2 linked regions of the Neodiprion lecontei genome follow. The protein of the gene in region 1 interacts with the protein of each later gene in a pairwise test. Links are inferred from orthologs where the notes say so. Each region holds a gene or a part of one and is shown on either strand. Other genes may lie near its edges.

Region 1 (8,105 bases):
AACCAGTAGCATGCATCTGTTTACAACCGAATCTTTAATAGTAGAACACGGAAGAGACAGCGGTCACCTTGAATAATTGAATTTTAATACGGCTGAAGGCTAAAACTACATAGCAGTGGTCCCGTAAATTACCTATTCTCACCTGTTATCAATCATCATATTATTAATATATTTCCGACGGCTTGTTTCGTGCATAAGAAATCGAGACATTCGAAAAATTTCACAAATACCGATTCGGAGATTCTGAATCTCTAAATGGCTCTTAAAATTCTGCTCTAATAATATCAGGCTAGTTGATATTCCATTTGGTAGCGGACGATGAGGTTAGCTTGGCCATCACGGCCTGTGGTGTATGCGAGCGTGGTTCACTGTCTCCGAGTTACGGCCACGCGATGATACGTGAAAAATAATTTTACGACTCTTGGCGATCCGGTTCGGCCGGTTATAACGCATTGAAAGAATTGACCGTAAATGCGAAGTGACAAAGCGAGAATAGATATTGAAAATCCGCATACAGAAGTATACAATTTATGGGTATAGATATATTGATGTATGTCACGCATCGTGCATACCAGGATATGACGCATACTCGAAAGATCCGAAAAAAATGCATTTACAAACCCGTTTTAAATCACTTCCGAGGTCGTCGTGAATCAATCGTAATCGTTTCCTGAGATATACTCAAAAAAAGATCGACCCCTTCCAAAGATGAAACAGGTAGTATTGTTGCTCGTTTGATCTTCAATAAATGATTTATTTTACACAAATATATTTTCTTCGTTTTTTTTTCTTTAACTGGAGTTAGCAATATCTTACACGAATATTTACATAATCTGTGTACAAACGTTTAATATTAAGTGCAGTAATATCAAACCTATCTTGTATTACATGGATTATCGCGTACGATTCTATCTTGAATGCAGATCGAGTTAACACCACTTTCTTCAATGTCCAGGGACTGCAGAGAGCAGAGTTTACTGCAGATTTCGTCAATCTATTGAAAAACTCAGTATGTGTATCTAGGAATCCGGTAGATACCTACACTGAAGGCTTGTTTCCATTCGGGATCGCTTATAGCTTCAGTGAAATGGTTATATCGGCTCCACTGGTATGTAACACATTCTTCTCAGCACAAGAATCGGTAAATTTGGCAAAAACAATACTACAAGTAAAACCAAAGGTGATAGTAATAACAAGACGCTAGCGTAAGCTAGTAGCCACCAAATTGGAGATATTCCTATCACTGGCTCGAGCATTTTGATTGTCGTAGATATGTACTGTTTCGCTGCTTATTTTGATCCTTATTTATCCTACCACTCTTAATTCCTACCACTAATCTTCGCCGTTGACGTTTAAAGGACTCCCTCCCCTCCCCCCGCCCCTGTTGCTCGGTGTCATTAAATGCGATATGATGCTCTGACGTCTCCGTTCAACTGGGCGACGACGTCTAAATTTTCACAGCCATTTCTATGTATTTTACTGTTTATACAAGTTCCTCCGGTTCATTGTCCACTGAAATATTCTCCTATCCAATTTTAATCAATTCTGAAACAATTTACAACAAATTTTAATCATTTTGAATCTGCAGTAACAACATAATAATTACTTTAAATTGTTGTCGTAATTTTCAAGTGAGCTATCGCATTTTTCTCGTCTACCTACACGAGAATATGAAACTTGACTAAAATGTGAGTGGAAATAATGGGAGGTGCAGCTGGTTCGTCATACCTTACAAATTTCCTAAAATTATGAAGCATCGGAAGAACAACTCACTTGAAATACCACAGACACACACAGGCACCTACAATATTCGGAGTTGTTTTCACTTTTTTACGGCATATGCAATGTACGAGAACGAATAGAAGAGTATAAAAGACGCAATGGAAGTCGCTTCGGTGTTTCAAATAATTTCTGGCAAGAATCACAAGCTAAATGAAAGATATTCCAGCTTCCGCGTTATGCAAATTTCACAACTTGTGTTGCAATTAATAACGTGACGTCAATTTTACCGGGGTAAGACACACACTCGACAATGCAAAGTAGATGTTATTGCACCTGTTACGCTTGACATGAACTGGCTCGAATTGTTTGGGCCTCTCGCAAGTATAGAGTAATGCTGTTATTTTCGACGGGATACCTGTACGACGGAGAGATGAGTAAGCTGACAATCAGGTAGAGCACTGTATTTGATCAACTTTACAACAATCCCAAGTTAAATAATAGACCTATTACGGGTCGATTGCGCAAACGTTGGAAAAATTTCACTTTCTTTGCCGCAATCTCGTTAACTTGGCCGCATGCATTGTCGAGAGACAGTCAAGAGAGTTATGTACGTATATACGAACAAAGCGAATCGGAATTTACGGTTATCGAATAATGACACGAGGCGAGGGACGATTTCAAACTCAATTTCAAACTGCAGCATCAACGCCGAGTCAAACTGACACACTTTGAAATTACATCACGTTGAGAGTACAAGGCCACCAACTTCACTGACTTACTTTCAATAGCGATGAATTACAATCGTGCAGGTTATCCGAAACTGCTAAACTTTTTCACGACTGAAGTGACGGCTGTGGTATGAATTTGTGAGATGAGCACAAAGTTGCGAGAGACTTTTGTGTTTAAAAAATGATTACGGATGACCTCCAAACCTGAATCAGTATTAGGTCCGGCGTTTCGTCAACATTTAAACTGATGTAATCGGCCCGAGATACATCCGCGCCATCAACTCGGCAAAAATAACAATACAGTGAAAAACACGCGAGGAAGATAGGAAGCCGCACGACCTTGGGGAATAAAAACCTGTTTGGCACAAGCGATCTACGCAGCGGTGAGTGAAACAAAAGCGAAGATTTAGAAAATTTCCCCGGCTGAATTACCCAGATTGCAGTAAAGCGTTCTAAAACAAACATTAGTTGCATTCAAGGATGACTGAAGAAAAGCTGCGATTATTCAAAACTTCGACACTCGAGAGCGGGTCAAAGCACGCACCTAACCCCAAGAAGCAAATCTGTTTCTATGACTTGATCGAAAATTTTCGTCTACCTACACGTAGAATCATAGTTCACACTAAAATGTTTTTTTTTTATAATTAATCGCAATATTTTCAACCACGCATGTGGATATGACATTTGACAATGGGGTGAAGACGTTAGGTCGAAGGTGGAGATGAGTGAAGACTGAGAGGAAGAATAGAAATAGAAATAGAAGAAACGGATAAACCACGTGTACCTACCATAAATCGAATAAGTCAGCCGACTTTCAATCACCCGGGACTAGAACTGCGACCTGCGTCGTAGAACTGCGCAGGTGCCAGTTGCAGGAGCACCGGGCTTCAACTTCGTTCTGAGACTCGATTCACAAACTGCGCTTTCCCTTTCATTTAAACACGACTACCTAACGTTATCCACGAGTCACCACCTTAAATTTGTTCGTCATTGTGCGCAACACGTACAAAGCGCAAGACTGTGCGCGTGTGGTACATATATGTGCATTGAAATGCGTGAGAGCATTGGCAAATCTGCAAACTGGACGGCATTGACAAGAGATTTCTGCCTCGTGTTTAACCTTCTCCAACTTCTCTCCGGACGGTTTGCTTGTTCATTTATTTATTACTACAGAGTTTTAAAGAGTAGTAACAGAGGTTGAAAAATTTGTAGTATTGCAAACTGAGAACTTTAGAGGTTTGACTTGCCAATTTGTAAATACGCACATTGTTCCGATCGCGTTTGTTGATCAAGTTTCATTTGATTCGACTACTGGGTAGAAAATGATAACTTACGAACATATTGCAAGCTCTTTTCGCAATTTCGTTTTACATTTTATTCTTCCTCCCCTTGCGCACGCGCTTGAGCGGAATACACGTATGCCTGTGCATATACGATATACGGGGAACTACGACAATGATGCGGCATAAGTGCAACGTACTTTAACAAAGACGACCTTCGCAATCCGCATGCAGAATTTTTCTCCCGCGTTGTTTTGCTTTCCTCTGCCTACCGACTTCTACCTCCTACCTACAATCTCCTCGACGTCTATTCTATTCGTTGTGCTTGCATATACCGTGTGGTTCTAAGTGTCCAAGCTTATGGAAATAAATATCAAACCGGTCATTGCCTGTCACTGATGAAATTCTACGTTCGTAAAAGTTCTACGTAGTTTCTAACAATGCCATAGAAATTGCATGACGGATAAAGATTTATTGAAATAATATACCTAGATTTTTTTCGTCAGTTATTTTATAGCATTTAACAAATTCTTAGCTTCAAGTATAAAAGTTGAGAATAATCTTTGTACATTTGGACATACTATATAAACGCATTCAATCACAACTTTGTAGCGAAAAGTATGTATAAGAATGATTTACATTATTATATGATAAAGTAATCTTCCATTTTGTTAAGATACGCATTTGCAAAAGGAGCTCGAGTTCTCACAACTATTTCTCGAATTACCAGTCATCGTTTCTCACGAGAAAACATGCGATAATCATATCAATGTGTAAATATTATTTGATACGATATGTAATAATATTATAGGAATTACTATAAGAGACAGCGCTTGTCAAAATAGTACTCACACGGAAACTTGGTAGCTTTTTGAAATATACAAGACTTAGATAACTTTGTTTAATGACCGAATCCTATGGAAGATATTTTGATTTCCTTTTTTGAAACAACGCCGTTAGTATCTGCGTAATTTACACCTTCTCGGTAAGCTCTGGTACCACTTTGAACAAATCTGCTACCAAGCCGTAATCAGCGACTTGGAAAATAGGAGCTTCCGGATCTTTATTTATCGCTACGATTGTTTTTGAATCTTTCATTCCAGCAAGATGCTGAATCGCTCCGGAGATACCCACGGCGACATAGAGGTCCTGCAAGTAAAACCGTTTTCATAGATTTGACGCCTCCCAAGTCTTATCGATTTCATACTAAATCAAAAATTATCTATCGCTCAGCAATCTGGGATGGAGTATAATTTTTTCAAATTGGAATATTATCTCAACAGAACATCTGTGTAAGCTCACCGGCGCTACAATTTTCCCAGTCTGTCCAACTTGCAAGTCATTCGGTACAAATCCAGCATCAACTGCGGCACGAGAAGCACCAACGGCTGCGTTCATTTTATCGGCAAGCGTGTACAGAAGCTGGAAGTTTTCCCCGGATTTTAACCCACGCCCACCAGAGATGACAATTTTGGCAGAAGCGAGCGCTGGTCTGTCGGACTTTGTCAGTTCTTGCTTTACAAACTCGACCGAATTAGACTTATAATCACCCGCTGGTGCTGGCTCTAGCTTGGCGCTCCCTCCTTCTAGAGGCGCTGCCTCGAAAGAAGTCCCTCGAATAGAAACAACTTTTACGCTGTCCTTAGCTTTCACAGTTTGTATAGCATTGCCCGCATATATTGTTCTCACAAACGTGTCTGGTGATTTAACACCGATTATATCACTCACCGGGGAAACATCTAGTTTGGCGGCTACCTAAAATTTATATTATCTTTATTTATATTAAACTTCAGTTATCGAACACCCTGACTGGATATTGTTCGTATCTGCAATTATTCATTATTTGTCTACCCACTCTTGGCAGCAAAGCCTTTCCAAATGCTGTGGCACCTGCGAGAATGTGGCTGAAGTTGAACTGTTTTTGGGTAGCTAATATCAGCGGTGTTATGGCTTCAGGGACGAATCCCTTGAAGGCGTCGTTCTCGGCAACCAAAACCTTAGCTACGCCGTTAGCTTTGGATACAGCCTCCGCTACTGGCCCGCACTTTGTGCCAGCAACCAAGACAGTGATATCCCCACCGATTTGCCTGGCTGCGGTTAATGCATTTTGGGTTATCGTCGACAGAGCCTCGTTATTATGCTCAGCAATTACCAAAGTCGATTGATATCTTTGCAAAAAACTGTTCAGCTGGAAGATGATAATTCACATAAAACTTGGCCAACTCCTAGATGCTCAAACAACCAAACATTATTTTAACATATCAGGTAATTGAGTAAAGAGATACGGTTCGCTTATTACATCAATCTCGTGATGAGGCAATCAAATTAACATAATAGAAAATTGTTATATAAGTATTGTAGTAAAGATAGAGGAAGCTAAAAATTTAATACAACCTACTTGAAATTGTGCACTGATCAATTATCAATTTTCATTGAAGTTTGGCTCACCTGAGTTTTGTGTCTGATCGTACGGGAACAGTTGACAAACATTTTGAAATTATTCCAACGGTTGACGAAAATAAGGTTTGCCAAATATGTCTCAGTTTGCAATACTTCTCACTCGACTGTTGTGCGTTGCAAGAAGTGGAGCACGGTGGCAAAGTTGATAGGCAAGTCCAAAGTTTGTTTTATGTATGTACATAGACCGATATATGGTACATACGTACGTGATGACGATATTCTTACGGCTTACCGACGGGCTTCGGCCAGAGGTCTCTAGCTCTACTTTTTCCATCATGGCGGCAAAGAGTCGGTGAATAAAACTAGCTGTGAATCGCCAGCTGTATCTACTTAGTTACCCAATTCTAGCATATATTAATGTAATATTCGAACGCTGTTGTAATTACTGTGAAATCAGATTTAGCAAGATCAATCAACTGCAGGATATTGCGACGTCGGGAATGCCAGCGAAATAATAAAAAGTAAATCACGTACGTGTATAAGCATATGTACCTACTGTACATACGCAGATCATTTTTTCAATCAGCCATAGGCCACCTTGAACTTTCCTTACAAATCTTCAGCATCTTTAACGTGTTGTCACGTGCGACAATAAGTAATAATATCGATCTAAAATAAATAGGACATGACGCAAGTGCCGGTTGTGTATTTGACCAGGAAAGAAACAATATCTGCTTGCCATCGCCTTCATAGGTATTCGATAATATAAAAATGAATGATGACGCAATAATTAAGCACGCATGCCACTAATTAATAACGTGGAAATTTTTTAAGCCCACACTTGACCGACGAGCAGAATGCAGCAGTTTACGGAAAGTGTAACAATTTTTGGGGGCACGGACACAATTACACCGGTAAAAAACATACGCATCTACTTGAAGTACTATAATTATTACTATAGTTGTTCAATGCGTAATTAAAAAATTTCGATACACAACTCATGTTTTTTTTCTTTTTTCAGTGGAGGTCACAGTGCGAGGTCCTGTGGATGAAAAAACTGGAATGGTAATGAATATTTCCGATTTGAAAATTTACATGAAAAATGTGTTGATGGATAAATTAGATCATAAAAATTTGGATAAAGATGTGCCATATTTCAAGCACGTTGTTTCGACAACAGAGAATGTAGCTATTTTTGTCTTCGATGAATTGAAGAAAGAAATGCCCAAACCTGATTTATTGTACGAGGTAAAAATATATGAAACTGATAAAAATATTGTAATTTATAGAGGCGAATAATTATTGGAGCCAATCGATAAGAGTTCGTTTTATAAAGGGGCGCATATGCCTATGTGCATATGAAATAATATATTTTCGAGAACATGACAGTAATCACAGATCAACAATTTAAGTACGTTATTACTTAATCAATGATATTAAGAAATTTTTCCTATTATCTTGCGCAAAGTTCGATTTTGCGCATGCATTTGCGTTCGCAAAGTACCGCTTTCCCACACGTTGACAAGAGCGTGCGGGAATGCAACTGAGCGAACGGGGATGTAGCTGAGCGTGCGGGAATGTATAAGAGTATACGAGCGATTCCAAGGTATATACGCGCGCGCCATCTCTGCGGCACTCTCTTAGCATTGACACGTGCGAGCGATACTTTGACGTTCGTTAAAATATACCGTTTCGTTTTGTAAATTGTCACGTTACGATAAATATTAATAATAATTGAAAATAATAAATAAATCAGATTTTTCTTAATTTAATAAATTTATAATAGTTCTATAATTTGTTTTTTTGTTTTGGGCGGGGGGCTTCGCCCAAAAATAAGTTTCAATTATTCAAAATAATTGTAGTGGTCGGACTTTGCGCAACTTAATAGGAAAAATAGTATACGTACTATTACATTCCGAATTTAGCATTACATCTATTTCGTATTCCAATTACTTGTTCGCACTTACGATTAGTG
Region 2 (4,467 bases), about 25 Mb from region 1:
ACTGGAAAATATTAACGTAAATATGAATTATTTAGTATTCCTTTTCGCGACGGATGAAGGAAAACCTTTTTAACTTGATAACGTTCACACTCCTCACGTATTGATCTAATACTAGAGAATATCGCAAAGACTGCTACGATACGATGAATCGGTTAGATCTGATCGTTACTTGCAAGAAATTATACAACGTTGCAGTTTGCATTAGAACTACGATTACTTGTATTGTGAAATTGTATTTTCGTCCCTCCTTCCCTTCCAATTCCTGAATAGTTTTCTTGAACAACTCGTTAAATCTTATTGAAAAAAGTATTAGTTATTTAGAACTTATGTATTTATTAATCGTTACTGTACTAGCTACAGTCGGAGATATGTTTCTTCGTGAATTTTACTATTATATAAATGTAAATGTATGTATACATATTTGTTGTTATTACGGGTATCGCGGGCTTATATTTACTGGGTTAATTGTTGTTGGTTGTTATTGAAAGTTATTATGAATCTGGTGTAAGCGATCTAAATTTTAATATTCGTGACATTCCTGAATTTCTCAGTGTTTTAAATCAATTCATACGCGACATCTGAAATTCATTTCTCGTTTGTTGACAACAGTTTACCATTGTTGTTAAACTTGATGAATTATCCATGAAAAGGTTTCACCATCAATTATGATGAGATAAAAAACAATTTCGAATCAGAATCTATGCGACTTTTGATCGTAAAATTAGGGACTACTAACTTTTACCTTACCTTAGACACCCCATAATCATTACTAAATTTTAATGTACTAGGTGTGATAATTCAATTCTATATATTTACTGCTAAGTTGACCAAAGAGAATGATACATAGTACATTATAATTTCTGTATGAAAATATTTTATCTAAAATATACAAACATGCAAAAAAAACAAACATGAAAATCATGACGTCGGGGGAAACCCACATGTCTAACTTCCAACACACCGATATTAACCAACGATTCAACATTGTATAAATTTATTAATCTTCAGTCTGTACAATTGGTAATATTGAAATATTTTTTATTTTTTTATTTTTATTTTAGTTTCATATTAATTCCCCTCTTTGAAGTAAAAATATTATCCTTGATAAAAAAACGTAGAAACTCCTCTATTCGGTAGTTGCGATTTTTTTCACTAAGAACTGGCAGTTTGTATTTTATATAATTCTTGTAAACAACGATCTCTAGCTGTTTCATATTTTTCTTTGTCCATTTTCTTTATGCCAAAATTGGGTTAAATGTGTCCACCTTCCTTCAGCTTGGCGACCAAAGCGTCTACGTCAGGTAGAATCGATCCTGCCTGTCTAACAGGTGGATCTTCGACAGAAATAATATCAATTCTTGGCGCGGTGTCAACGCCAAGATCCTTGGGGCTGACTTTCTTTATCGGTTTCTTCTTTGCCTTCATTATATTTGGTAAAGTAGCATAACGCGGCTCGTTGAGACGCAAATCAGCGCTCAAAACCGCTGGTGTTTTGACTTTGATCACCTCCAGACCACCGTCTACTTCGCGCGTTATCGTTAACTCGCCAGATCCGTGTTCAACCTAAGAAAAGAAGAAAATTCAATCTGACAAAAGGATTGAAAATGATTTACGACACAAGTAAAACGTTATCTTCTCTGTCTGCGTTGTGCAATTCACCGGTTACATAACATCTTGCGACTTTGAGAATAATTGCCTGGCGGTGTATGGAACAAATTAACAGGGTAAAACTGGCAAATACTTTGCTGCAAAATGTTCCAGCTGGCCAGTCGAGAACGGCTGCAGTCATCTGAGCAGTCTGATTGGCGTCGTCGTCGATAGCCTGCTTGCCCACGATCACGATGTCTGCCTTCTCGTCCTGAGCGAGTTTGGCAAGTATTTTAGAGACGTGAATGGGCTGCAGGGTATCGTACTCCGCACCAGCGACCTCAACGTGTATTCCCCGATCTGCACCCATCGCCAAGGCGGTTCTTATAGTTTCTTGAGCTTGTGGAGGGCCACAGGAAACCGCTATGATCTCCGAGGCAAGCTTCTTCTCTTTCATTCTCACAGCCTCCTCTATCGCAATCTCATCGAAGGGGTTCATCGCGTGCTTGACGCCATCGGTTACGACGCCAGATTTGTCCGGCTTCACGCGAATCTGCGGGGATCAGTCCGAAGGTTGCGAGTTAAATCATACAAGGGACGAAGCGCTGGTGGATTGGTTTTACAGTTCAATAAATTAGAAAAAAAAACTTAACATCTGCGATAAGTATTGCAAATACAAGGCAGAGTTCGATTAGCCAGATGGACTTTGATCCCATAGTGGATCCCATAGTGGAATTAAGGTACATCATTCATTTGACAACTACGTGTTGCAGTTTTGCCAGGTTTTTACAGGCAGTTAATTAGTGGCTGAGGAGAGTTATTTCCACTTACCTTGACCGCGTAATCGATCACTCGCTTAACGCCGACCAGAACTCGAGCCATTTTTGATAAACACGTCCACGGCTTTCGCTGATTTAATCAAAGATATTCACACCGCTCGGTTAGTTGTAAGGGTCTGATACTCTGATCCAGACCAAACAGCGCTTTGAGCAGCTGTGGCTCGAGTAAGAGGGGGAAATAGGGAATTGGTTACATCACGACAACGAGAGTAAAATATTCGTCATATGTGGAGTAAGAGGAGTAATAAGGGATTCGATTCGATGCGATCGGAATGCACAGCGATGCAACAATAAATTCGATTAATTAGGACATCGTCAGTCGTGAATATTTACCTTGGCGAACTCCAACCGCTCTGAAGAACTAACGAATCGTCGATTCCACGCTTGATGCCAGCCGTGTGATCTGTTTACGATTTGAATCACCGATGATGCGTAGAGTACGGATGATGATGATTTTTAGAGACAGCTTTTTTTCTCTTTGCAGCTTCTTCCTTTCGAAATGTATCACGTGATAACGCATTCGAATTCAGACTCGTCTGTGTTTATTGATTTTTCTCTCAATTTGTGAGATATTAATGTTTACACATATTTAATGCAGCCGGCTTATTTCGTCCGATCAACTCTACACCGCGCGGAGTCAGAACACAGGGAAAAATCATTATTAGAGGCGTTTTTACCGGCGATAAAACACTTTTCGTTCGATCAATTATTGTTTGGAAAACGTTTCTTCCTCACATTGATGTTCTTTTTTTTTCACGAGCGTTATTTACCTTGCAGATATATTCACAGCGGTGACAGAACGTTCCGGAACACACGACGAGCGTTGACAAGTTCACTCGGATAGCAAATCTGTTGTCGTAATGGAGAAGAAATATTACGCAGTGGATTAAAATATCTGTATTTATGAAGCGGATCGACACGATTAATCATTATTTTCTATTATTCTGTCGTTGTTTACGACACAGAACAAACTGAAGGCGTCCCGGTGTTTAAACGCTACGAGAATGAGGCTGAACTTAGTCACGTTAACGTAGAAGAAACGTTGAAACAAAACTTGTTATTCTGCAGCTTCGGAAAACGACTGAAGGAGTTGAATTTACAAAATGTGAGTACTTACGTTTTACTGAATTTCAGGTAACTCTAAGCTAGCAAAATAGCGAGGTTTTTCTCGATAATACATCGTTACAATAACGCTACAAACTTCTACCTGATTTGCGAAACGTCTCGTGATACACGCGACGCGACGAGCAGTTGTGTTCGAGACGCCGAAGCCACAGGTTGTCGTTTGTAGTTGTGTAATGTGGGTGAGATTTTGAAAATATAAACTGTTGCAGCGGTGAAAAGTTGTGAAGTTTGCAGCGAGTGAAAATCGCCTAGCAACAACGGAGCAAATTTGTGCATTTCCTGCCTAGCAACAGTGGAAGAACCAGCATCATTGCATCTCAGCAGCAACATAGTAAGTACGACAAATATGAAATGTGTTAATAAGATATATACCGCGTGACAAAGATTTATTATTACGTCGTTCACTTATCGTCCGATTGAAGAATAATCTTACGACCTACTCAATTGTTAATCCTTGATTATTGTCGAGGAATGTCGGTTCGTTTTTTTTTTCTGCTGGCTTTTCGTGATATCGGTTACTTTGTATTTTGTTTCCGATAATTCTCCACCACATTTTGCAGTACTGCAATCACGTATTAATATTTCCGATTACTATTTTTCGGAAAATAGATAAGTGAAACGGAAAAACGTTATACGAAAAAAAGGAAACAGGCACTTGATGTAGATCAGTTTGTGTATTTATTATTGATTTCACTTTTCAAGGGTACACAACTCTGATATCAGAGACGAATATATTAAATTTGCGAACAGAATTTATATCTATGATCCCGAACGTATCATCCGTATACGTTTCAAATTATCGTTTAAATATTTTCATTTATGACATATTTTTTGTTTCATCGTTTTCATTTTCCTTTCGGATTTACTGTTTACCAACTATATCTTCTATACTTATGCGTGTAGTTATTATTATTAT

What was found.
Region 2: the proteins of electron transfer flavoprotein subunit alpha, mitochondrial (region 1) and electron transfer flavoprotein subunit beta interact in a two-hybrid assay, tested with the Drosophila melanogaster proteins (2 studies listed by BioGRID). The link is inferred for Neodiprion lecontei from reciprocal best matches to the Drosophila melanogaster genes wal and Etfb.

What each region holds. Positions count from the first base shown.
Region 1 is NC_060266.1:26,572,921-26,581,025, reverse strand, and holds electron transfer flavoprotein subunit alpha, mitochondrial, read right to left. Parts: upstream 6,319-8,105; 5' UTR 6,221-6,318; coding exon 6,179-6,220; intron 5,919-6,178; coding exon 5,586-5,918; intron 5,486-5,585; coding exon 5,033-5,485; intron 4,880-5,032; coding exon 4,703-4,879; 3' UTR 3,239-4,702; intron 1,546-3,238; coding exon of another isoform or gene 1,540-1,545; 3' UTR 734-1,539; downstream 1-733. Other genes in the region: 6-pyruvoyl tetrahydrobiopterin synthase, read left to right, coding at 6,816-6,883, 6,965-7,044, 7,152-7,429.
Region 2 is NC_060266.1:1,976,073-1,980,539, forward strand, and holds electron transfer flavoprotein subunit beta, read right to left. Parts: upstream 2,590-4,467; 5' UTR 2,470-2,589; coding exon 2,419-2,469; intron 2,141-2,418; coding exon 1,742-2,140; intron 1,564-1,741; coding exon 1,252-1,563; 3' UTR 792-1,251; downstream 1-791. Other genes in the region: protein UBASH3A homolog, read left to right, coding at 1-20.